Caenorhabditis elegans: one gene and its partners. The protein of the gene in region 1 interacts with the protein of each later gene in a biochemical or structural test. Each region holds a gene or a part of one and is shown on either strand. Other genes may lie near its edges. The genes, in order: stn-2, C38H2.2, sru-39 and gly-11.

Region 1 (6,633 bases):
ATGGTTGATACTAATTGTGAACGTGAGTATTGCTGCAGTTAATTCAATAGAAACCCAAACGATTTCAGCTGGTAGTCCTTATTAGTGCGTGGATTATATTGCGTGTGAGAATGGTTCCATTCGAGAAATATGAGACGAAGAAGATTGAGCCTTTGAATTAGGCAACTCTTTACTTTGTTATTTCACCTTTGTTTGAGTTTTCGAGTACTGTTGTAAGTGCAATATTACGGCAAACAGAAACCGGTTGATTTTGACTCATCGCGTGTCTTTATCTTGTTATCGATATAATTCTTTGAGAATTAGAATTTATGATTATTGAAATAAAGGATTTTTGAAATTGACAATTTGATTGTGCCAGAAACCTGAAAAAAGTCATATGTTTTCAATGAAATTTTGATTTTTTGCATATGACTCAAAACTGGTCCATAAGTTACAGGTAGACTACGGCATGCAGATTGTTTTTATTTTTAGTTTGAAATAAAAAAATGTTGAAAACCTAGCTTTAACTCATGATTCAAATTTTGTTTTAAACAACAGTTGAACAACAACAAAAAAATATTTATGCTTTGAAAATCAAAAATCATTAGTCCTCTGCATTTCCAACATAACGATTAGCCTTCAAATAGTCTGGATCAGTGGAAACAATTCTGGCAAGAACAAAGGAATGAAGGTTGAATACAACTGTTACCACATCTTCGCATTCGATGTCCTGCAATTTGAGTACTTGACTCGGAAAGTTGCAAAACCACTAACCTTTACTTCTATTCTATCGGAATTCAATGAACGATCATCATTGAACGATAACTGGACACACAGTTTGCCATCATCAGCAACGGCTTGTAAATCTCTGAACCGATATTGCCAAATGTAACTCTAGAAATAAATTGTATCAATATCAATAACAGTTAGAAATAGTATTACCTTAGTAGGAATATCATATAGACTAATTCCCTGTTTAATGTCAAAAACGATTCCACTGGCTCTTCCTTCAAAGTTACAGGCAAACGTTCGGGACTAAAGTTAACTGTTATTGTTGTTGAATAATTTAAATAAACTTGCCTGCATTTGGGAAATGGTATTGTATACGGTTCGGTAATATGCTTGCTCAAAAAGTTCAAATGCAGATACAGCTTCAAATGACAGGTAGTGATTTGGAACTTGCAATGGAGTTTCTATTAAGAAACAATTGTCACGCTTATCTCTTCGTGGACTAGAGTTTGGGACCTGTAGATATCCCTTCTAGAATTACTACTTTTTTTGATAATCTACCTGTTTTACAGCAACATCATAACATTTGTACAAGTAGACACATTTGTTGAGATCTTCAGAGTTTAGCTGGAAAAAAAGAATCATGTAAAATAAGTTCAAAAATTAAAAAAAAAACATACCGGCGGAACATCAAAGAAGCAGACATCACTGCCTTTTAAAATCAAGAAGCGAGGTTGCCAGCGGATTTTAAGCTCTTCTTGATCATCATCATTCAAGTATTCATTCACCCAACCAATGTAGCTGATCTAAAAAACATTAATTTAAACTATTTACTGCAAAAACCGTGCATAATGTTAGTAGATTTACTAGTTGACTATTTTCTTGAATATTCAATTTTCAACAAGATAGTCGGCTTTAAAAACAACAATGTTTCCATCAAGTATCCTAAATCGAGCAGACAAAAGCAAAAATAATTGCCTCAAAATTAGATTAAGCAAAGTTTTATTCTGAATTCGTAATTTCCATTGTATTAGCTTTTAGAAAATACATCATTCGACCCATAATTCTCTGGACACCTAAAACGGCTTCATAGTCAGTAATGTTGGATCATTAATCTGATGTGTGCTGAAAACATTTAATTTTTAATTCCGATGTCGTATTTTTAACAGATGTTTCAAGGCAACCAAACGTGCCTACCAAACATTGAAGTCATATCATTGCATACTGACCTGCTCACTCTGATGCAAGTACTTGTTGCTCATTTTTATACTCTTTTGGTTGAGCGACAATATATGTTTGCTGATGTGCGAGATCCATTGTTCCAGCGCCGATGTATCTTCGCAATGCACAATTCCCGACGATCTTCCATCTACTGCACGAACTTCGAAAGAGTTTGTCCTGTAAAATTTTAGTTTTGTTGAACAAGAAATACAAAAAGCTCCCCGTTGTATGTATTCATTACGAAAATAAAATCTGAAGCAAACCTGATATTGTCGGTTCCCCAGAGGTATCTGGTGACATAAGCCATTGCCAACGGAAGAGACGTCAACGTTTTCCATTTCTTTTCCCGTCCGTCAATATGTTGTTGCCATTTCGAGTCGGAGAGTCGGGATTCGGATTGCGCTTTGTGGCTCTGAAGCAAAAACTCCAAATAATTTCAAAATGGAAGCTTAGGATTTTTTCTTACCCTTGTACTTCTTCCATCAAACAGCTGATCCAATGTTCCATCGGGTTGCAATGACTGTGCTGGTCTGAAAAGTAGTCACTCCAACGTCTCTGGTACCCCGATATAAAATCAAATGCAACTATATACTCTGCGCAAAACATTGTGTGTCCCTCGGCAGTTTGCCTACTGCGCACATTTTTGAATTTCAAATGCAGTGAAAAGCATTCATCAGGGAGGATGGCGTAAGGCTCCGCGTGCTTTGCCTCAAACCACCCCCTGCGCAGAGCTCTTCTACACTCTAATCCATCAGTTGTTTCTACTCATGTTTCTTCGTCCTTTTCCTTCTTTTTCATGCTTCTTTCTTCCACTCTTTTCAACCATACTTTTTTTGTGTGTCCTCTCGCCAAAGTAACGCCACGTCGAAAATCGAAAAAGGAAGCGGGAAATAGGAAGAAAGGCGATGCATGGGACTGACTTGAGTAGCAAATTTTTTTCGCCACAAAACCAAACTCACTTTAGAAACGGCGTCATATGGGTGAAATGGCGGACACCCAAAGTTACTTGGTCACCGCTTGATTTTAACATGTTAACCACTTCGTCGTGGCTTTGACCTGGAAGTTGATATGAAAAAATAGTCTACCGTTTTTTTTCCCTATTAGACTTGTACCATCATGCCCTTGCTTGATTTTGACAGCTTATATCTTAGTTAGTTCTTTTTGGTTTTTTTTTAATTGGCAACTGAAAAAAAATTGATTTGTTATGAAACTTAGGACGGCATATATAACCCATCCAACAGAGAAGGAGCAAGTATAATAGGGAAAGTACAGCATATGACTTGTTTTATTATTCAATACAACTTTGTTTTTTTTTTTTAAATTTTTATGTTAAATTTTTGAACGTGAATTGCCAAAAGTTATTTTGTTGCGGCTTTTATAGGCCCCATGTGAGAAGTGTGGAAAAAATGCATACATTCAAAAATTGATGGTTCCATTTTATTTCTATTATTTAAAAAAAAACTAGTTTAACTTTTTGGTCTTTGCTATGAACGCTCATTCGTTTTCAGTTCCTATTTCCCAGAGGGGAACCAAATGATTGGACTAATGAAGACTACTCGTTCTTTTTCTTCCCTCACCTTCTATGGATATTCCATTTACTTCTACGATAGCATCTCCAATAAATAGCTCTCCACATTCGTCGGCTGTAATTTAAGTATTTTTCTAGATGTTAAAATTTTAAATCTGACGATTTACCTGGCAATCCTTTGAATATTTTGGAGATTACTATTGGCATGTTTTGTGCATTTTCTGATCCTCCCTGCAATAGTTCTAAGTATTACACCGGTCCTGTTCAATTGCTCACTTTAATAGACAATCCGAACCCCGAGTCTGGTTTTTTAACTATGACAACTTGCCGAGTTGCATTTTCTAGAAATGTTTCTTTGGCTTCTTCGGGCTCCGCGGTACCATCGTCAATGACTTGAATACATAACTCATCTGCAAGAATATGTTACGATATTTCTTTTTTTGGATGACTTTTTATATAGTTTTCATGCCATTTTCATGTCATTTCTACCAAATTTTTTTTGGAGTTTTAAAAGCGCAAAGGAAGCGCAAGACAAAAACGAAGATGCGGGACCCTGACAGCTTTTTCCTCTTTTCTCAACAACTCAATTGTAGGCTAGGCACCAATTTCCGCGCCATGAGCTGCCTAATAAAGTTTTCACACGACTAGTTGAGGCCGTCATTGCACACTTTTCTTTTATTTTCGTTTTTCTCCCCCATTTCTCCTCGTTTTTCAGGCCCTTCTCGCTTTCGCAAATTGTGCGGCTTTTATAGGCCCCATGTGAGAAGTGTGGAAAAAATGCATACATTCAAAAATTGATGGTTCCATTTTATTTCTATTTCAAGTTCCATTTTAATTTCCTCTTACCTTTGGATAAAAGCAGTCGTGACGATCTAGAAGTGGCATTCCCATCACTAATGAGTACTATTCCATGATGAACCTGAAATTTTTTGTTGGAATTTGTTTCATTTAACATATTGTCAAGTCTTGTATTTCATAAGACTTCAGATTGCTGGCATGTACTATACAAAAATTAAACATGCCCATTAAAAACCAACAATTTCATAATATTTGCTAAACTTACCACATCCAGATTATGGTGTGATTTCGTAACGGACATTTAGCCTTGTTTAACAGAGAATATAAAATGTAGCAAAAATGAAGGACAATGAACTAGAGGGACTAAAGATGCGTGTGTGTGTGCCACCTCACACGAGTCAACTTTGAAGCGCCCGAGCTCCAATCTATCCTATCTGCTCATCGGAAGCGGTGTAATACACACATTACAACAGCAAAAGATGCGGAATCATAGACGAACAGCAAAAACGAGCAGTTGAAGGAAGTGAGAAACAAGATGATAAACAGCTGGTTTGAATTTTTAATATCAGAAACGAGTCATCCAATATTTTTAACATCCAACAAAGTTTTGATCATAGTCTGAAAACTGATTAAAAGATATAAAATAAGAGCTGAAATTCTGGAACTGTTGCCAAAGAGATTGCCGGAAAGGCAACCATCATTTTTCTCAATTTCTTCGCGTGCTGCTTTCTGACTGATAAAATTTTCTACACATTGTTCACAGTCACAAAGTTTTCTGTACTCTTATCATTAAGCAGCGACCATTGCTCACCCATCTCCGTTGTGGTCTAGTGGTTAGGATTTATGGCTCTCACCCATAAGGCCGGGGTTCGATTCCCCGCAACGGAATACCTTTTTGAGGAGTGACTTTTGATAAAAATTTTAACATCCCTGTTTTTTCTCCATTTGTTTATTCATATTCAACAGTTAGTGATTTTCCAAACTAATTGAAACTTTCACTGAAATCTTTTCCACATTTCTGCATGTTGTTTCCTGCAAACTAATTGATGAATATAATCAATCATTTTGACGAATTGCCGTTTTCTACTCTTATTGTCCTTTTTCCCCATTAAAACAATGGGAAAACACGCATTTTAGCGCCGTGACCCTACACTGTGTCTTCACTTCGAATGTCAATGAGCCATTGAGCTTCAATTGAGAAATGCCGTTTTGAAGATACAAAGACACATCGTTTCGCTTTCCATATTTCGAATGATGGACGATTTTCGGCGGCGCAAACACATATGAAAATGTTCCGCAACTGGCAAAAAAGAAAGGCAACGGAATATATTTCACAATCGTTGTTGTGCAAACGAGGCTGACTTTTTTGCCTTTAGTCAACTGAGTCATCAAGAGAGACTAAAATTGTGATTTTTTCTTTGAGTACATATGTGTGATCACATTTTCTCTGCTTGAAACAAACCACAAAGTGTTTTGTAGCTCTTCTTGTTATATAAATTAAAAACGGAGTACCTTCAGTAGGAAAACTGTTTAAACCCGCTCATATAGTGTCAAAAATTAAACGACAAAATACATGAACTTTAATTTTAAAAATTAGATATATATAACTGTTTTCAAAGTACGCACGTATTTTGTTATTTATTAAACCTTGTTGTGAATCATAACACCTTTTTAATTTATCAGAAATGGAAATGTTCGAAATCCTTTTGCATTTTTATTCTTGGAAAACCACTTAAACTTGAAGAGGAACACGTGTATCACGTATTATTAATATGGAAAATTTGATGGAAAAATTAGTTTATTTTTTAAAATGTGAGATTATAAAACCTAAATACCGATTATTAAATAAGTAATCTCCCATTTTCATTGAAATAGTTATATGCTGGTCTCTATTGCACTCCATTGCGCGTCATTTCCAGCGCATAGTACGCAGTACAGTCCCCGTGGTGTCTACGGTCCTAATCCCTAATGTGTCTATGTATCGACTGTTCCTTGTTGATGATATCAATTGTTATTTTTAAATTTTGTCAACAAGGTATTTTATCATTGGAAAATCTAAACATAACTTTTTCAGAAAAATTGGTTATGTGGTCTTTGAAGAAAAAAAACTAATTAAATTTACTCAAAGAAAACTAATAAGTTTTCTAAATATTCGTTTTATTTATAATAACTTTCTTAAAAATAGAAAAAATCAATGCAAAATGTTAAACATTCTTATTTGGCATGCTCTTCCTCTTCGTGTTGCCAATTCTTCTCTCTTTTCCTCTCTCTGTGTCATGCTGAGCACCAGATTCAGACACTCTCTCCCTCGTTTGCTTACACGTTATTGATTTTTGCTTTACTCGTCAGTGACAAGTCCGAAATTGCTCTTCTCTCGC
Region 2 (5,664 bases), on another chromosome or scaffold:
AAAGACCTAGTATAGTACAAACTTTCGATTTTTTTTGAAAAATAAAATTTCCAATTTTCAGCCCTCCAAAAGACGACGCGTCACCAATTACAGTACTCCCGACAGCGGTCCGTTCAATGCCAGAAACCCATCGTCGTTCTTTGATGGTTGCAATTATAGCAGCCCTCTTAGTTTTCACGGCTGTCGTTTTTATGCTCCTTCTTGTCACATTCGCCTAATATGGTGTAAACGCGCTCTATCGCTAACGTTAACCTGTGTAGTCTGTTTGAAAGATAATTGAAAATAATATTATTAATGTTTTGTTAATTGGCAATTTTTTGATACCCGCTGAGACCACAACTTTTTTCTAGCAATAGAGTGCATTTGTAAGCTTTACCTTACTTTTATCTCCAGTCACATAATTTTCTCTCGTCTGAAACCCCCCTCCACATACGGTGTAAATATTCGTTTTGCTCAATCAAAATCTGTAGTTTCACTCTTTTTTCTTGCACATGTGCACAATGTTTGTTAATAATAAAGCCAATTTATTTTTATAAATTTTCTTCAAAAGAAAAAATTCCACACACAGAGAGAAATGAACAAGATTGACTAGAAAAAACAAACAAAACATTGGAAAAGGCACAGGGTGTGATCGGCCGATCGTCTTTCAAATTGAATTAAAAAAACCACATTTACATGTAAAACTCTGATGATTCCCGTAAGCAGAAATTTTAAACTAAAATATCCAAAAAACAATTCACTAAACACTTTGGGAGTCGAACCTTGGTAGACAGGACGGCTTTCAAATATATTGATCAATTGATAAACATCGAAAATTATTTCCAATACATCAGATTTGACGCGCAATGTCTACCGTAATTCAAATGACTTGAGAAAGAGGAAAGAAATGCAGAAGAGGCGGCAATTAGGGTGGAGAACAGTCATGGAATGTATTGACGTAGAGAGAGAAGGAAAGAGAGAAGCCCAAGCGAAGCAGTTGGAACAAAAACAAATAAAAAATGGAAGAAAATCACCCGGGTATTGGACAAAAAAGTCGGTAAATGATATCTAACAACATAGACTGCAAGAAAAACAACAATTTGCTTATACAGCAACTTCCGGCCGATCCCGGAACGCATCGTCTTGTCCACGTTCGGATCGAGAGATCGAATAAGCCGTATGGATTATTGTTTCGTTCTTTGGCACTCGAATCGCGCGATCGATACCTGAATAATTGAAAAATTGTATAGGCTAAAATGTGGAATTGTAGCTCTTTCCGAATTTTGTAAAATTTTATTAAAAATTCGAGTCAAAATATTTTTCAATCAAAAAAAAAAAGATTCTTACTAAAAAATAATTATTTTCCTGTGTTCTAAAATTTTTTTATAACTATTTTTCTGTGTTCTAAAATGTTTCAATTTTCCCTGCGTGGCCGTGGCCGAGTTTTGCATTTCTCGGCCACTGAGTCCCCAATTTCACTCACCGAAAGGCTTCAAGTGATAGATGAGATACTCGAGCACATACATCAAGTTCGGGTTGACGTAGTGGAAGGAGACTGCGTAATCTGGAAACAATAATGGAAGATTATTGAGCAAATAGCATTGCATGCAGAAAACAATTGATCTCTTCAAAAAAGTTTTTTCAATCTTTCGGGAAGGGCATTGTTTGCACGGTGGTTCAGTGTAGGAAGATCAGCACCAAAGAAAATCTCGAAAAAAAGTGCAACTAACCAGAGCAACACGTAGGTCCTTGATCCATTGGGTAGTAAGTGTACTGCCAGAACCAGAACTTGGGGTCAACGTGGCCAGGCGACAAGTGATGTTCCGGCACGAAAGGCATGAATCTGAAAATTACTTCGTGTTCGCGGGAAGAGAAAACCCAGTTGCTCAACTCATAAAAGAGCTTTTTAATGAACAAGCTTCATCAAAAAATGTTTTTGGTGTCCTCTCTCTCTCTCCCCCTGCAGATTTATGCTTAAACTTTTAAGTTTAAAAAATTTTATGAAATTAGTCGAAAAAAACTTCAAATTAAATTTCATTTTGTAGTAATTTTGACTACGTTTTCCTGTTAGATTTCACCCAAATTCAGAAAAAAAGTCAGAAAACACGCTCTGCTGATAGACGATTCCAAAAACAATTTGTACTTTTCCACGTGGAGTACACATTTTTAATGTTATCAAACAGCTGGCAGCTGATCAAATTTTCACTAGTTATCGTTTTACAGTTTTGTAATTTGAAATTTATGATTATCCTTAAAGAAAACTGAGATTGGAGCTGCCAAAAAGAACAGTGCAAACATGGTGCATCGACTGGAAACGCCAAAAATTTTAATTGGCAAATGTCAAGTGAAAAATGCAAACGAGAAACACATAGTGCATCGTCCAGTAATACCTCAGTCAATTTTGTTATAAACCATCAAAGTAGATCACTTTTGCACATAAAATTCCAAATTTTCCAGATATCACAACTAACCTATGATGTCCATCGGCATCTCTGGAATCTCCAGCTTTCACTCCAACCTTCTCCAAGCATTTGCCCATCTCCGCATCCTCGGCTCCACCATGATTCTGAGAGCACAACGATTTGTCCGGCAGCGCTACTTCAATGAATCTGAAATTACCAATACTCGTTAGACAACAATCAAATGAAGAAATCCTACTTTTTCAGTGCCTCCCGACTGAGCACATATCCAGCTCCACCACTATGATATCCTCCCTGTGTGAATGGCTTAAACTTGCATCCAAAGTGAATTGGCTCATCCGGTGAATGAGCCAATAGCATGAACCGGAGATTTTCCATCACCACATAGGTATCGTCGTCGGCTTTCAGGAACCAGTCGTAGTCGTTCAGGTGATGGTCATAAATGTATTTGAATGCTCCTTTTGTTTTTGCCCACAAGTAATCTCTGCCTTCAGAGACATTTAGGTTGATGGCTGGGAGTTCTGCATCCTCTTCTGATGACATGAATACGTACCTGAAAACAAATCAATATTTTCCTAAAAAAAATATATATAACTTTTATATTAACAGAATCAATAATTTCCAATAAAAAATTCCATTTAAAACCAATGTTTTCTGCCAAAATTGCCATTTTCACTTAAAAACCAATCATTTTTGTTCACATTCAATATTTTTTGAACCATAGTTCATTAAATTGTAAATAAATAAATGAATAAATATATATATATATATATATATATGTATATATATATATATATATTTTATATATATATATATATATACTTTAGGTGGACAATTTGTATTTTCTAAAACAGTTTTCGCGGTGAACAACCGATCATTTTTTTGAAAAAACCTACTTATTACACCGCTTGGCCCAGGTGGCTTTGACGTGTTTCGCGCGTTTATCGTGATTCTGTTTTCCGGTGAGAATCCAACAGAAGACGCGAACCTTCTTCGCAACTTCGTCGGCTATCAGACTTTCACCATCATGGCTATGCGATGAGTTGTTGGAATGGAATTGGACGGGCGCAAAGTTCGCGTGATGATCGTCGACTTCTTCGTCTCCGTGCTGAAAGTTGGGATTTGTGTTTTGGTGTTGGTTGTCGGTAGTTCACAATTAACTTTCTGATATATTTTTTATAGTCTAATTCCGAGCTGAATTTTTTATTTTATTATCGGCCACAGTCCCAGACTCGAACGTGACTTAAACTAAAGCTCTCTGAGAGCACCACCAGGAAGTGCACCTGACTCCCAGATTCGCAGTGCGTAGCACTTGTAGAATGGACTACTCCAAGTTATATTTTAAAATCCTTACCGGATCATTTCCATGTGCATGATCGTGCTCGTCAACTTGTGGATCCCCTCGGTTGGCTCGTAGTATGGCTATCCGTGAGGCAGCGTCGTAGGTTGTCTGAAAATTTGATTTCCTCAGAAAATTGTAGAACGCTAGCACGTCTCGCTCGAAAATTTTTCAAAAATAGTATTTTTTAAAGTAAGACAAAACCCATAAAAAAAACAAAGCACCTACCGTTCCCGTCTGAGATATTATTGAAATGGTCAAACCGAGAAGAACGCCAAGCGCCACGTAGGCGAGAGGAGAAACACGTGGCCAGTTTGCCATATCAACAGCACATCTGTAGTAATGAATTTATTTCAAAAATTATTATGAAGGTTTAGAAAAATGAGCAGATTCACGTCAGATACAGGAAAAATAATTAAAGGGGAGGGGGGGGGGGGGGTAGGGGTTACTACGGGAAAAATTCACTAAAATAAGCATATTTTTTGGTGCTTTTTTAAAGTTCAGTTCAAAAATTATCTCAAAATCCAGCTTTTCAAAAAAAAAAATTAAAACTATATTCTCGACTCTTCAAAAATTTTAATGAGCGTTGCCTTTAAAAATACAATTTTTATGCTATAAAAAGCCCTAATAAAGGGAAAAAATATTCAATAGTTTTCAAAATATTTCAAAAATGTTTCGCTGAAAATTTTGAACTGTGAACAAATATTCTTCTCATTTTAATCACGATTTTATAGAATTTCTATAATTTTCAAATTGTGCAAATAATTTGATAAGTAGCTTTTTTTTCTACGTTAACTTTGAACCTTATATATTAATTTTTCAAAGATATAAAAATAAGTTCAACTACAAAACTATTGAAAAAAACATAAAATGAAGATTTTATCAGTTTACAGGTGTTCGAGAAAAAAATCCAAAAACCATCGAGACAAAGATACGTGAAGCAATCTCAGTCGATGCACCATGTTTTGCCCCCTTATTTTGTAAGCTTACATCTTGGTTTGTTTTTGAATAAATTAATATATTTTAAACTTCTAAAATATAGGCAATAATTCGAACAATATGCTGTCACTTAAGATTATTTTTTGATAAGAAGATCATAGAAAACCAAAATAGAAAAGCAAAAAACAAAATCAAAACTTTTTCAGAGTCACGTAGATTGCAGTACTGTATCGTACCGACAATATTTGAATAAGTGGGAACACAAGCATGAAAAGAGGTTTTGTACCGAAAATATGGAAATTCGAAGAGAGATAGAGAGAGAGTGAAAAAGGGAAAACGAGAGCCTTGTGGCAATGAGAAGAATTCAAATATGCGAGATAGTGTGTGGAATGAGAGAGATCACAGACATTTGGAGGAGGAGAAGCGTAGTGTGTTGGAGTAGGAATAGAAGAAGGAAGAAGAAAATGAGGAGGAGAACAGGCAATGAAAAATTAGTATTGTGAAAATGCTTGGGAGTTGGCAAAAGATTTAAAATATTTGTGCTCAAGATGTTTTTTCCTTTTTTTTTCTGCAAAAAAAAATTTCCTGAAATTTAGTATAAGAATTAAAAAAAAAGTATACTGAAACCTTGGTCTTCAAAATTTTGAGAATTAAAACTAGAATAACAACTACCTTTGGTTTTTCTATAATTAAAATTGGAAGCTTCAAATCGAACATGTTCCTAAATGCTGAAAATTTTGTGGTAAGTAAAAATTAAACTTATGATTTTTCGTGAAATTGCAGGTTTTGGTAACCCCCATTACTGAAAGAAACAAGTTAAATGGATATTTTCAAATTAATAAATAATCTTTTGGAAATCAGTAAATATTTTGAAAAATGCCAAAATTTGGTAAAAATTTAAAACTAGCCAAAAAATTCGCTTTTTAATTTTGTCACAAGTTTACCTGCTAGATCATTACTTCAAAAATTGTTGTACTAGATAATTAA
Region 3 (3,289 bases), on another chromosome or scaffold:
ATGAATAAATGTTCAAAGCAAGCAGTCTAGTGACTCTCGACTTTGATTTTACTTAACTTTGATTTTCAAATAGTCACGTTTGGTTATAATTGTTTCTTTGAATTTTCAAAAATTTGTTAGATGAAAAACCATGTATTCCAGGAGATCCTGAATGCTCACTCTACCTTTTGCAGCCAAAAGGCAAGACTTTCTGACTATCCTGCGAGTTTTCATGAAAATTTATTTTCCTTTAATGGTGTTCATTGAACAATATATATTACACGAATTGCGGTAAATTGCTTAGCAAGCAATGCGTTCCATGAAGTAAAGTTTTGAAACGTTTCCCCGAAAACTTAAAGAAAAAAATTGGACAACGTTTTTAACTTTTTCACTTCACTTTTTGTGATATGAATGCACTATAAAAACTAGTATCCAGAAAATTATTATCACATTAAAAACTTGTGCTTTGAAATTTTTGAACCCAAAAAAAATATTTTTTCATCCGAAAAAAGACAAATTCAAAATAATTTATTACACATTAAAAATATGTTGACACTGTTCGAATAGTGCTGTCGTTTCGAATTTTAGTACTACGGTTTTTCTTTTTAAAAATGTAATGCGTATAATAGAAATAACAAGAAACAATATGAGCTCGGACATCCAATGCAATGCAACGCAGGAGAAACATATAAGCATATAAATTTGAAGAAAAAAGATTTGCAATTGACAGAATTGATGGAACCACAACAGGGAGAAGAATTAGAATCATTGTAGCTGTTAATACTTTTTCTGATTTTAAATCTACTGGTCGGCGCAACTCGGAAGTTCTGGAAAAGTTTTGTGTAAAATTTATTATAAGGAATTTTAACTTACATCTTCCGTTTATGATACAGCTTTACAAACATCATGATTGTCAATATAATCGTCAGTGTTATATTTGTATTAGAAAAAATTGAGTAAATAATAGTGTAAGTTTTCTGAAAAAATACTTGCATTACGATTAACTTTTGGATTTTCTATGAACCACCATATCCCGGCGTAGAGCTGTGATTACAATTGCTCCAAATGGAAATGGTTCGTCCATTTGATAACAAGAGCTTGATGCAAAAAAGAACGGTATTCCAAAACCATGCCCAACAAATATAATGAGAGGGTTGACAATATCAAATATTTTTGCAATTTTCTGAAAATGAAATGAATTAACACTAGAGGTTCATGAGTTGACATACATCTTTGTGATATTCATGAGCATATAATAATGCAACTCTCTGAATGCAAAACGCAAGAGTTAATGAATGAGATGTATATACAACTCCTGTGAACATCAATGATAATATTTTTAAAAGTAGAACTGGCTTCGATTGATAGCAATAACTGGTAAATAATGATGTAAGTGGAATTCGAACTATCAGAAAATCCATCAAAACATGAAATTCTTTCCATACTTGCATCAAAAGAAACAATCGAAAAACATCAAGACGAAGTCCTCTTTTCACTTCTTCGTTATTTTTATTGTTCAAATAAAAAATGCACATTTTTAGTGTAATCCAAAACGAAAACAGTGTATATGTACAAGTGACTGCTGCGAAAACAGTCCAAACATTGAATGAATATGTAAAATTGGAATATTCAGTCTTATTATCAATTGGTATATGTCCATAAACAGACATGTTGGAAGTTATTCGAAGAATGAAAAGTGTGGTTGACGTATGTCTACTGAAAGTAGGCGCTTTAATTGCCAGCTATTCATAAAATTTCATTGAGCAGTACGTGTATTGGCAAAAGATCAATTTTTAAACTTGCATCTTTTATACTTACATATATACCGGATTATTTAGGTGCTAAGGTCATGTATTTCGGGAAATTCGTAGTACATGCGAAAGATGTGAAAAAGTGTAAAATAAGAAGTCTTGTCTGGTCTCCTGTTTCTGGAATGTGGATAATAGCAGAAAATGAGTGAAATTGAATTCACTTATAAGAATTAAAAGTGTTTACGCGTTTTTATTCAAGTGACGAATGATTGTTCCTGGTAAATGAAATTATGGACTAGCAAAGCAAGTATTTCAGCTGAATATTCGACAGCCAGTTGGAGCCTTCGATATTTGAAAGAAAACCTTAATAATTGGTGACCGCAAAAATTAACTGCAGAAGAGTTTGCTTTTTTGGAACATCGGAAAAAAAAGTTTTTCATCAGAATCAATTATTGTCGATTTTCGATTGCAAGATATTCTAAAAGATTAGCAACAGTTTGAGGTGTTTTCTAGAATTTTTATATTTCGAAAAAACCTAAATTTTTAAATAGAATTCGGCGAACAAAGTTTCAGATTTTTTCAACATAGCTCAAAACGCTCTTTCGCAGGTTTTTGGTAAGTGATTTCAATGGTTTTTCCTTCAAATAACTAGTTTTTTTCTGGATTTTCATGTTTAAACTAAAGTACTATTCTTGTTTAAAAAACATTTGGGTACAAATATATTGGTAAACTAATGCGACGCCCCAACAAATAATGTTTTTTCCTGCAGAGACAAACAAGTCTGCAAAAAATAAGTTTTTGGGTGCGTTGCTCTAATCTGCGAATCAAATGATTTTTAGTTTGAAGGAAATGCCAGTTGAGTAGAAAATTTCAGACGCAAAAGAAATGGGGAAAAATCGCATGAAAAAATTATACAAAATAAACTATCATATTTCTGACATCTTTCAATGCTTGAGCAAAACGAAAAGAATGATCAGTTGAACTTTTGTGGCCTTCTTGGTCTTCTTAGTCTGACCCAAGTTTGGTTTCTTTCCGCTTGAATTCAGCATTTTCACTTTTTCGATATTGTTTCATTCACAACTTGATGAAGAGTGGTACGAATTAATTATTCTAATGATCAAAAATTGAATTTCTCAGAACTTCTGGAATGTAAATATTTTACGAAAAAAATTATTCTTTTAATGATTGAAAAAATAATTCGCGTAGACATCTGGTCTCTATTTTTTTTTAACTTTGAATCGCGTTTTTCTAAAGTTTGTTTACCGCTAATTAGAACAACGTTTAAAAATGATAAGGTCAATTTATACTAGAAAAATTATTTCTACTTTCTTCATCTGGTCAAGCATACAATTCAACTGTCAACATAATGATCATTATAATTGTTATTTCGATGCTTTTTGCAATATCATGTAATAGCTTTCTCGTTTTTTGTGCAAAATTGAAGAAGGACAAGAAGGCTACTTTAGAGGAAGTCACTCCACGGGTAATTCAATATTGTTTCATAGTTTAGAACTTGAACTTCGCAATTGAATAATTGATAATACCATCCAAATTTCAGG
Region 4 (7,876 bases), on another chromosome or scaffold:
TGTTCCGTCGTAAAAACGAAGCCTTTGTGCGGTAATCGAATCACAAAATATTGCGATCAACGACGAAATGCTTCAACTGGTTCATTTTTCAAAATTTTTCTTTGAAATATTTTTATTTAAAAAAGTCGTCTTTCACTTATATGAGTCAATTGTCAGTTTACTGGATAAATTTACTAGTTTCAAATTTTTGAAAAATATTTACATTTTTATTTACAAAAAAGGCTTGTTTTGCCTAAAGGTGAAGTGGTGCCAAAACGCTAAAAAAAATTTATTATTTACTCTCAAAAAGTTACAATCACTCAGATTTTGTCACTATAATTTTTTTTGGAAGTCGACCAAAAAAATTACCTACATTTTTATACTCTACTTTTGTTTCAATTATTCGTATTAAAACATTGCAAAATTTCTTTGAATTTCCTCAAAATCTCATATTCTTCAAAATTTTGGTAGTTTGCCAAAACTTTGACCGGAAATTATGAAAAATCTATATGTTTCAAAGTTTTTTATTATGATATTCGGTCCTTTTGGATCATAATGCATTATCCACATATCGCGCATTAGATGCACAGAAATTCAAGTTCAAAGATTGAGAGATCATAGACATCTAGAGTACTCTGCCACTCTGCGTCTCTCCTCTCTCCGCCAGTTCAAATACCACTTTGCGCTTTCACTTTTTTTCGGAGTAAAACCTCAATCGGTTAATAAAGTAAACAAAATCCTCATCCCCCCATCGCTCTTTCTGTGTCCACTTGGGGGGTTCCTCCTCTTGTGTCCATCGGATTGTACATCGAGAGATCTGTCGGTATGTCTGCGTCTTCTCAATTTGTTTGATCTCTAATGTTCCTGTGTTCAGCTGTGTCATCAATCGTCCTTCTTTCCGCACTATTCCGTCCCGCTGCTTCCCACATACCTACCCCCCACTTCTCGAATATGTCCTAAAAGTTTTCCTTTTCACTTTTGTTTTAGAGATTTTTTTTGGGAAACAGTTTAGGGTAAATTTGAAAATTTTAGGCCAAAACTTAAGTTTGCAAAAAAAAAAGCAATTTCGGAAAAAAAAAATTTGAAAAAAAAATATTACTCTGGCGTAAAATTCTGCAAGTTTGCCCTAAAACCCAGGTCTCGGCAAGATAATTTTTGTGAAATTGCACGGGGTTCTGGATTTCCCTTCCATTGAATTTTTCGCGCTCCATTGATAATCACCCGCCGGACAACGCGTGGGAAAGTCGTGTACTCCACACGGACAAGTGCATTTAGTTTTACAATCGAGCCGCGACGCGACACGCAACGCGCCGTAAATCTACCCCAGATATGACCTGGCCTAGTTCGGCAAACTCTTCCATTTCAATTTTTGAGGGAAGCCAGAAATCGGCGAGATTTCAAAAAAAAAAAATATTTCCCAGACACAAAATTGAGGGATTTTGCCCCAAACCCAGGTCCCGACACAACAATTTTTTTCTAAATGCAAAAAGGTGTGCACCTTTAAAGAATACTGTAATTTCAAAATTTTCGGAATTTTCGTGGTTTTTTTCCATATTTTTTCTTGAACAAATATACACGAATTTCTGGCTTCCCTCATAAATTGAAATGGGAGAGTTTGCCGAATTAGGCCATTTTGGCTCGGCCATATCTGGGGTAGATTTACGGCGCGTTGCGTGTCGCGTCGCGGCTCGATTGTAAAACTAAATGTATTTGTCCGTGTGGAGTACACGAATTTTCCACGCGTTGTCAGGTAGACGATTGTCAATGGAGCGCAAAAAATTCAATGAGGAAGGCCAGAGCCCCGTGATTCTTTGATTTTTTTTATTTCAAAATTAATTACAAATTTCCAATTTTTAAATATTTTAGGAATGCTCCTACTTTGGAGGCGAAAAACAGTCGGATTAATATGCCTTTTTTCAATTCTTCTCACTATATATCTCTACGTCTCAATGTATCCAGAAGATAACGAGAGAGTATGGAATAGTGGAAACGCAGATATTCAGAGAAAACATGAAAAACTAAATAATGGAGGACAGGGACGACACGATTTTGATGATGATGAGGGCGCGGAAAAGGATGAAGAGGATGCGGTCGAGAAACAGGTATCTGAATGCTTTTAAGGGTATAAAGGGCTTCCATCATAAGTAGATTCAAGGCCTGGCGCCTGCCTGAAATCTGCCCGTCGCATGCCTGCATTTTGATGTGAATAACTTTCAAATTTCAAAAGTTCTCATTTCTCATTTCTTTCAATTTGTTGAAAATCAGATTAACAGCTTTTGGCCCGTATTGAGGCGAGAGGCAGGCAGGCATTGTAATACCTACTTTTGAATTTTCAATGTTCAAATTATTCCAGAACATCGCCGCTCCACCACTTCCAAAATCATTCACAACATTCCCGGATCGTTCAAAAGAAATTGAGATTGACACAGATTTGCTGGGGAAAATAAATGGAAAAGCCGAAGATGATCTACAAGTTGAAGGTTATAAAAAGTATCAGTTTAACGGATTACTAAGTGATCGAATTGGATCAAGAAGGAAGATCAAGGACTCTAGAAATGCCAGATGCTCTTCTCTAACATATTCCGACAGCTTACCAGCTGCCTCCATAGTTGTTTGTTATTTCAATGAATCACCTTCCGTGCTAATCCGAATGGTGAATTCAATTTTCGATCGTACAAAACCAGAACATCTCCATGAAATTCTACTTGTGGATGATTCAAGTGAATGGTCGAATGCAACTGATGAAGCTATCAAGTACAGAGAAAAACATATTATTCAATGGGAAAAAGTAAAGTTTTTGAAGACTGACAAGAATGAGGGATTGATTAGAGCAAAGATTTTTGGAGCAAGAAGGGCTAATGGAGAAGTTTTGGTAAGTTACTATTCTCTAATGTGAAGAGTAGGGCGATAGGCAGGCGCGGTTTCAAGGCATGCCTGAAGCCTGCCTGAAACTTTTTTCTACTATTCAAATTGAGTTTTCAAAATTCAAATTTAAGATTAAAAAATAGTTCACGTACGTATTAGCATGAAGCGTGTACTGAGGAAGGCGGAGGTCGCCTTAAAGTCAGACAGGTAGGCATTTTAACGCCTACATGGAGCCCTAGTAAAAAACAACGCTTTTCAAAGGAGCATAGATGTTTTAAAGCGTGTGGTGTCTTGAAAATTAGGCTTAGGTTTCGGCTTAGGCTTAGGCTTAGGCTTAGACAATGCTCTGGGGGGGGGGGGGGGGGAATTTCCAGAAAAAAGGAAAACCCCACAAAGATGAGAACAAATGTGGCATTCCGAAGTTGGGTAAAAAATCTCATGAAAACGACCAAAAAAAGACCAAAAAAAATATAAAAGTTGAAAAAAATTGTGAAAAAAACAAAATTTTTGTAGTTTTTGAAATCACATGAATTACCCACGTGGTTTCCACGTGGTTCCAGGCTGTCCCATTACGATTTGATCTACAAAAACTGCGGGAGTTTTTTGCGTAAAAAATGTGACGTCAGCAAGTTTTCAACCATACGAAATTAGGTTGAGAACTCTGCATCTCTTCTCCCGCCTTTTTTGTAGATCAACGAGACTTTTGGGTCGGGGTCGCGGCCCCGACCCACTTTTGGGTCGGGGTCATGTCCCCGACCCATTTTTCAAAATTTAACAGAAAATTATCAAAAACTTGAAAAATTATTTTTTGTCAAAAAACACGTGTAAAAGCTGAAAATTATAAAATTATCGTATTTTCATCAATAAAAAAAAACATACCCTACTTTCGATACAAACAAGCATAAGAGTCAACGTTTAAAAACACGATTTACAACAAAAAAACATGTTTTTTCAATTTCAGACATTTTCCGAAAATGGTTCGGGGCCGCGACCCCGACCCATTCAACAGGCCTAACCACGTGCATTATCAGTAGTCACGTAGTGTCAGAGAGTGTCTCATTTCGGCTAGATCTACATAGATCTACAAAAAATGCGGCAGAGTTCTCAACTGATTTCGTATGATTAAAACGAGCTGACGTCACGTATTTTTGGGCGAAAAATTCGCGCATTTTTTAGAGATCAAACGACAGCCTAGCACCTCGTGAGTAGTGCAAAAACCCTATTGAGTAAAAATTAAAGTAGGTATAGTTTTTACCAATTAAATTGTTTTCCACGTATAATTTTTATTTTCTCTAAACATTAAAAAATATATTTTTTCAGGTATTCCTGGATAGTCACTGTGAAGTAAACGAAGAATGGCTTCCACCACTTCTCGATCAAATCAAACAGAATCGCCGTCGTGTCGTATGCCCAATCATTGATATAATCGATGCAATCACTATGAAATACGTGGAATCTCCTGTTTGCACAGGCGGTGTCAATTGGGCAATGACATTCAAATGGGATTACCCCCATCGATCCTACTTTGAGGATCCGATGAATTATGTGAACCCGTTGAAATCGCCTACAATGGCTGGTGGTCTTTTTGCGATTGATAAAGAATATTTCTTTGAAATTGGAAGTTATGATGAGGGAATGGATGTTTGGGGAGCTGAAAATGTGGAAATTAGTGTTAGGGTAGGTTTCAAAGGGCTAACCCGAATAGTTTAAAGTATAAAATTGCCCTACAGGCCTCTAAAATTTTGTAAAATTAAAAAACCAATTTTTTACAAGGATTTCGTTCAAAATATTTACGCCAAACAGGTTGGCACTTAATTTTCAAAAAAAAATTCTAGTCAAAAATTGCCGGTTTATCGAATTTGCCGGAACATTTTATTTTCGGTAAATTGCCGATTTGCCGAAAATTTTTATTTTTTGTAAATTGCCGGTTTGCCGAATTTGGCAGAAATATTCAATTCCGGCAACTTGCCAATTTGCCGGAACTTTTAATTTTTGGCAAATTGTCGGTTTGCCGAGCTTGTCGGAAATGTTCAATTTCGGCAATTTGCCAATTTGCCGGAACTTTTCATTTTTGGCAAATTGCCGGTTTGCCGAATTTGCCGGATATGTTCAATTCCGGCAATTTACCAATTTGCCGGAACTTTTCATCTTTGGCAAATTTACGGTTTGCCGAATTGGCCGGTAATGTTCAATTCCTGCAATTTGCCGATTTGCCTAATCGGTCGGAAATTCTCAATTTCGGCAATTTGTCAATTTGCCGGAACCTCTCATTTGTGGCAAATTGCCTACTTTGCCGGAATACATATACTAAATTTCAGATATGGACCTGCGGTGGAGAACTTCTGATTATGCCGTGCAGCCGAGTTGGCCACATTTTCCGGTAAGTTTGTTTTCAATTTGCTGGCTTGAATTTGAAAGGTTTTTGATTTTGAAAAAAAAAAACTAAATTCCAGCCGCCAACGCCCATACGGAATAAAAACGGATTCAATGGGAAAAAATTCAGTCCGGCTGGCAAGAGTATGGCTTGATGAATATCTTGAAAATTTCTTCGAAGCTCGTCCAAACTACCGTACATTCACCGACTACGGTGATCTTACATCGAGAATCAGTCTACGTAGGAATTTGCAGTGTAAACCGTTCAAATGGTATTTGGAAAATATCTATCCTGAACTATTACCGGATAACACACCAAATCAGCTGAATAACCAAATACTTGTCGCTGGAAAGAAATATTTGATTAAAATGGCAAATGGAACACATTGTTTGAGCGCTGAAAACTCGCAGGGAAGGATTGCAAATGGGAATCGGGTGGAAATGAGAAAATGTAATCATATGGAGAGAATGCAACAATGGAAATACTCATCGACGGTTCGATTTTGTGTGCAAAAAATGTACAGAAAATGTGCATACAATGTGCAAAAAATGTGAAAAAATGTGCAAAAAATGTGCAAAAAATGTGCAAAAAATGTACAGAAAATGTGCATACAATGTGCAAAAAATGTGCAAAAAATGTGCAAAAAATGTACAGAAAATGTGCATACAATGTGCAAAAAATGTGCAAAAAATGTGCAAAAAATGTGAAAAAATGTGCAAAAAATGTGCAAAAAATGTGCAAAAAATGTGCAAAAAATGTGCAAAAAATGTACAGAAAATGTGCAAAAAATGTGCAAAAAATGTGCAAAAAATGTGCAAAAAATGTGCAAAAAATGTGCAAAAAATGTGCAAAAAATGTACAGAAAATGTGCAAAAAATGTGCAAAAAATTTGAAAAAATGTGCAAAAAATGTGCAAAAAATGTGCAAAAAATGTGCAAAAAATGTACAGAAAATGTGCAAAAAATGTACAGAAAATGTGCAAAAAATGTGCAAAAAATGTGCAAAAAATGTGCAAAAAATGTGCAAAAAATGTGCAAAAAATGTGCAAAAAATGTGCAAAAAATGTACAGAAAATGTGCAAAAAATGTGCAAAAAATGTGCAAAAAATGTGCAAAAAATGTGCAAAAAATGTGCAAAAAATGTACAGAAAATGTGCAAAAAATGTGCAAAAAATTTGAAAAAATGTGCAAAAAATGTGCAAAAAATGTACAGAAAATGTGCATACAATGTGCAAAAAATGTGCAAAAAATGTGCAAAAAATGTGCAAAAAATGTGCAAAAAATGTGCAAAAAAATGTGCAAAAAATGTGAAAAAATGTGCAAAAAATGTGCAAAAAATGTGCAAAAAATGTACAGAAAATGTGCATACAATGTGCAAAAAATGTGCAAAAAATGTGCAAAAACTGTTAATTTTTTGTACAGTTTATCCAAAATTTTTGACGTTTTTAATTTGTGGTTTTTTAGAAAATTAAAACTATTTTGGATTGTTTGAATCAAAATCCTCCCTATTTTGAATACCTCCTGATTTTAAAAATTATTTTCAGAATGAGCTACGACCGATGGGCTCATCCCGAATGTGCCTAGATTCCTTACGAGGGATTAGTGTCATTTTGTGTCATAATCAAGGAGCACATCAAATGTGGCAAGTTTCGGTAAGTCAAACTACATATTACGGTAACACAATTTTTTTTTCTGAGAATGCGTACTGCACAACATATTTGACGCGCCGCAAAATATGAAATATCTCGTAGCGAAAACTTAATGACTACTGTAGCGCTTGTGTCGATTTTTGAAATAAAGTTCGTTTTTATCAATTTTGATATTCTATCGATAAATAAATAATGTTAATTCATTTAAAAAATCGAGATCCCGTAAATCGACACTACAGTAGTCATTCAAAGGGTTACTGTAGTTTTCTTTTCGCTACGAGATATTATGCGCGTCAAATATGTTGTGCAGTACGCATTCTCGGAATTTTGTGTTCCTGTAATATGCAAATAATTTTCTTTGAAAAAAATGTTTTTGATATAATTTTTTTAACCAAAATTTAAACTTTTCTGAATCTTGAAAAAAAATTTTTGCATATTTTTTTAGCGTTATCAAATAACTAATAGTGAAAAAAATCAGAAAATTTTAAAAAAATTCATTAAAAATTTTTTAAAATTTTAAACTGTTCCCATATTGATAAGGCATCATAAAACAGCAATATTAACTCAAAAATTGGAAAAAAATTAAATTTAATTTTTTTCCAGAACGCCGGAAAGCTCTACAGTAGATCAGTGAATAAATGTGCAACTGGATCCAATGACGTCAGTGCGCTGAGCACTTTAAAATTCTGCTCTCTTGCGAATAGCTTCCAATTCGTTGAGCTATAAGTATTGATATTTTATTTTTGAAAAAAAAAAATTTTCTCAAAATTTTTTTTCTATGGGTACTTTTCTCTCCCTGAAACTCTAAAACTGGTCCAAAATTGCCTTTCCCTTCCCAAATCTTGTGATAATTTTAATAAATTTTTTTGCGTTTTTGTGAAAAATTCATTCTATAATTACAGACAAGAAGACGGTTACCGAAAAAAAAATTGGGAAAAATCGATTAAAAAGGAGATGAATGAGCAAGAGGGGAGAAAAATACAACAGAAAAAAAAAAATTGAAAATGACG

What was found.
Region 2: the proteins of stn-2 (region 1) and C38H2.2 form a complex in vitro, tested with the Caenorhabditis elegans proteins (one study listed by BioGRID).
Region 3: the proteins of stn-2 (region 1) and sru-39 form a complex in vitro, tested with the Caenorhabditis elegans proteins (one study listed by BioGRID).
Region 4: the proteins of stn-2 (region 1) and gly-11 form a complex in vitro, tested with the Caenorhabditis elegans proteins (one study listed by BioGRID).

What each region holds. Positions count from the first base shown.
Region 1 is NC_003284.9:7,675,969-7,682,601, forward strand, and holds stn-2 (PDZ domain-containing protein), read right to left. Parts: upstream 4,652-6,633; 5' UTR 4,557-4,651; coding exon 4,521-4,556; intron 4,377-4,520; coding exon 4,304-4,376; intron 3,868-4,303; coding exon 3,734-3,867; intron 3,689-3,733; coding exon 3,625-3,688; intron 3,573-3,624; coding exon 3,507-3,572; intron 2,986-3,506; coding exon 2,889-2,985; intron 2,460-2,888; coding exon 2,396-2,459; intron 2,342-2,395; coding exon 2,193-2,341; intron 2,107-2,192; coding exon 1,938-2,106; intron 1,515-1,937; coding exon 1,389-1,514; intron 1,336-1,388; coding exon 1,270-1,335; intron 1,225-1,269; coding exon 1,060-1,224; intron 1,015-1,059; coding exon 922-1,014; intron 874-921; coding exon 754-873; intron 710-753; coding exon 584-709; 3' UTR 543-583; downstream 1-542. Other genes in the region: mfsd-8.5 (Major facilitator superfamily (MFS) profile domain-containing protein), read left to right, coding at 1-22, 69-161.
Region 2 is NC_003281.10:10,380,181-10,385,844, reverse strand, and holds C38H2.2 (Glycoprotein-N-acetylgalactosamine 3-beta-galactosyltransferase 1), read right to left. Parts: upstream 4,073-5,664; 5' UTR 4,060-4,072; coding exon 3,967-4,059; intron 3,850-3,966; coding exon 3,754-3,849; intron 3,508-3,753; coding exon 3,296-3,507; intron 2,953-3,295; coding exon 2,638-2,952; intron 2,589-2,637; coding exon 2,451-2,588; intron 1,823-2,450; coding exon 1,710-1,822; intron 1,544-1,709; coding exon 1,463-1,543; intron 1,206-1,462; coding exon 1,084-1,205; 3' UTR 512-1,083; downstream 1-511. Other genes in the region: C38H2.3 (Wsv136), read left to right, coding at 62-218. UniProt on the Caenorhabditis elegans protein: Glycosyltransferase that generates the core 1 O-glycan Gal-beta1-3GalNAc-alpha1-Ser/Thr (T antigen), which is a precursor for many extended O-glycans in glycoproteins.
Region 3 is NC_003283.11:9,801,836-9,805,124, reverse strand, and holds sru-39 (Serpentine Receptor, class T), read right to left. Parts: upstream 1,650-3,289; coding exon 1,209-1,649; intron 1,163-1,208; coding exon 1,004-1,162; intron 957-1,003; coding exon 853-956; intron 807-852; coding exon 518-806; downstream 1-517. Other genes in the region: F46B6.10 (uncharacterized protein), read left to right, coding at 3,097-3,213, 3,289-3,289.
Region 4 is NC_003281.10:12,171,215-12,179,090, reverse strand, and holds gly-11 (Putative polypeptide N-acetylgalactosaminyltransferase 11), read left to right. Parts: upstream 1-1,845; 5' UTR 1,846-1,847; coding exon 1,848-2,081; intron 2,082-2,332; coding exon 2,333-2,851; intron 2,852-4,164; coding exon 4,165-4,521; intron 4,522-5,162; coding exon 5,163-5,224; intron 5,225-5,297; coding exon 5,298-5,712; intron 5,713-6,761; coding exon 6,762-6,869; intron 6,870-7,469; coding exon 7,470-7,592; 3' UTR 7,593-7,737; downstream 7,738-7,876. UniProt on the Caenorhabditis elegans protein: May catalyze the initial reaction in O-linked oligosaccharide biosynthesis, the transfer of an N-acetyl-D-galactosamine residue to a serine or threonine residue on the protein receptor.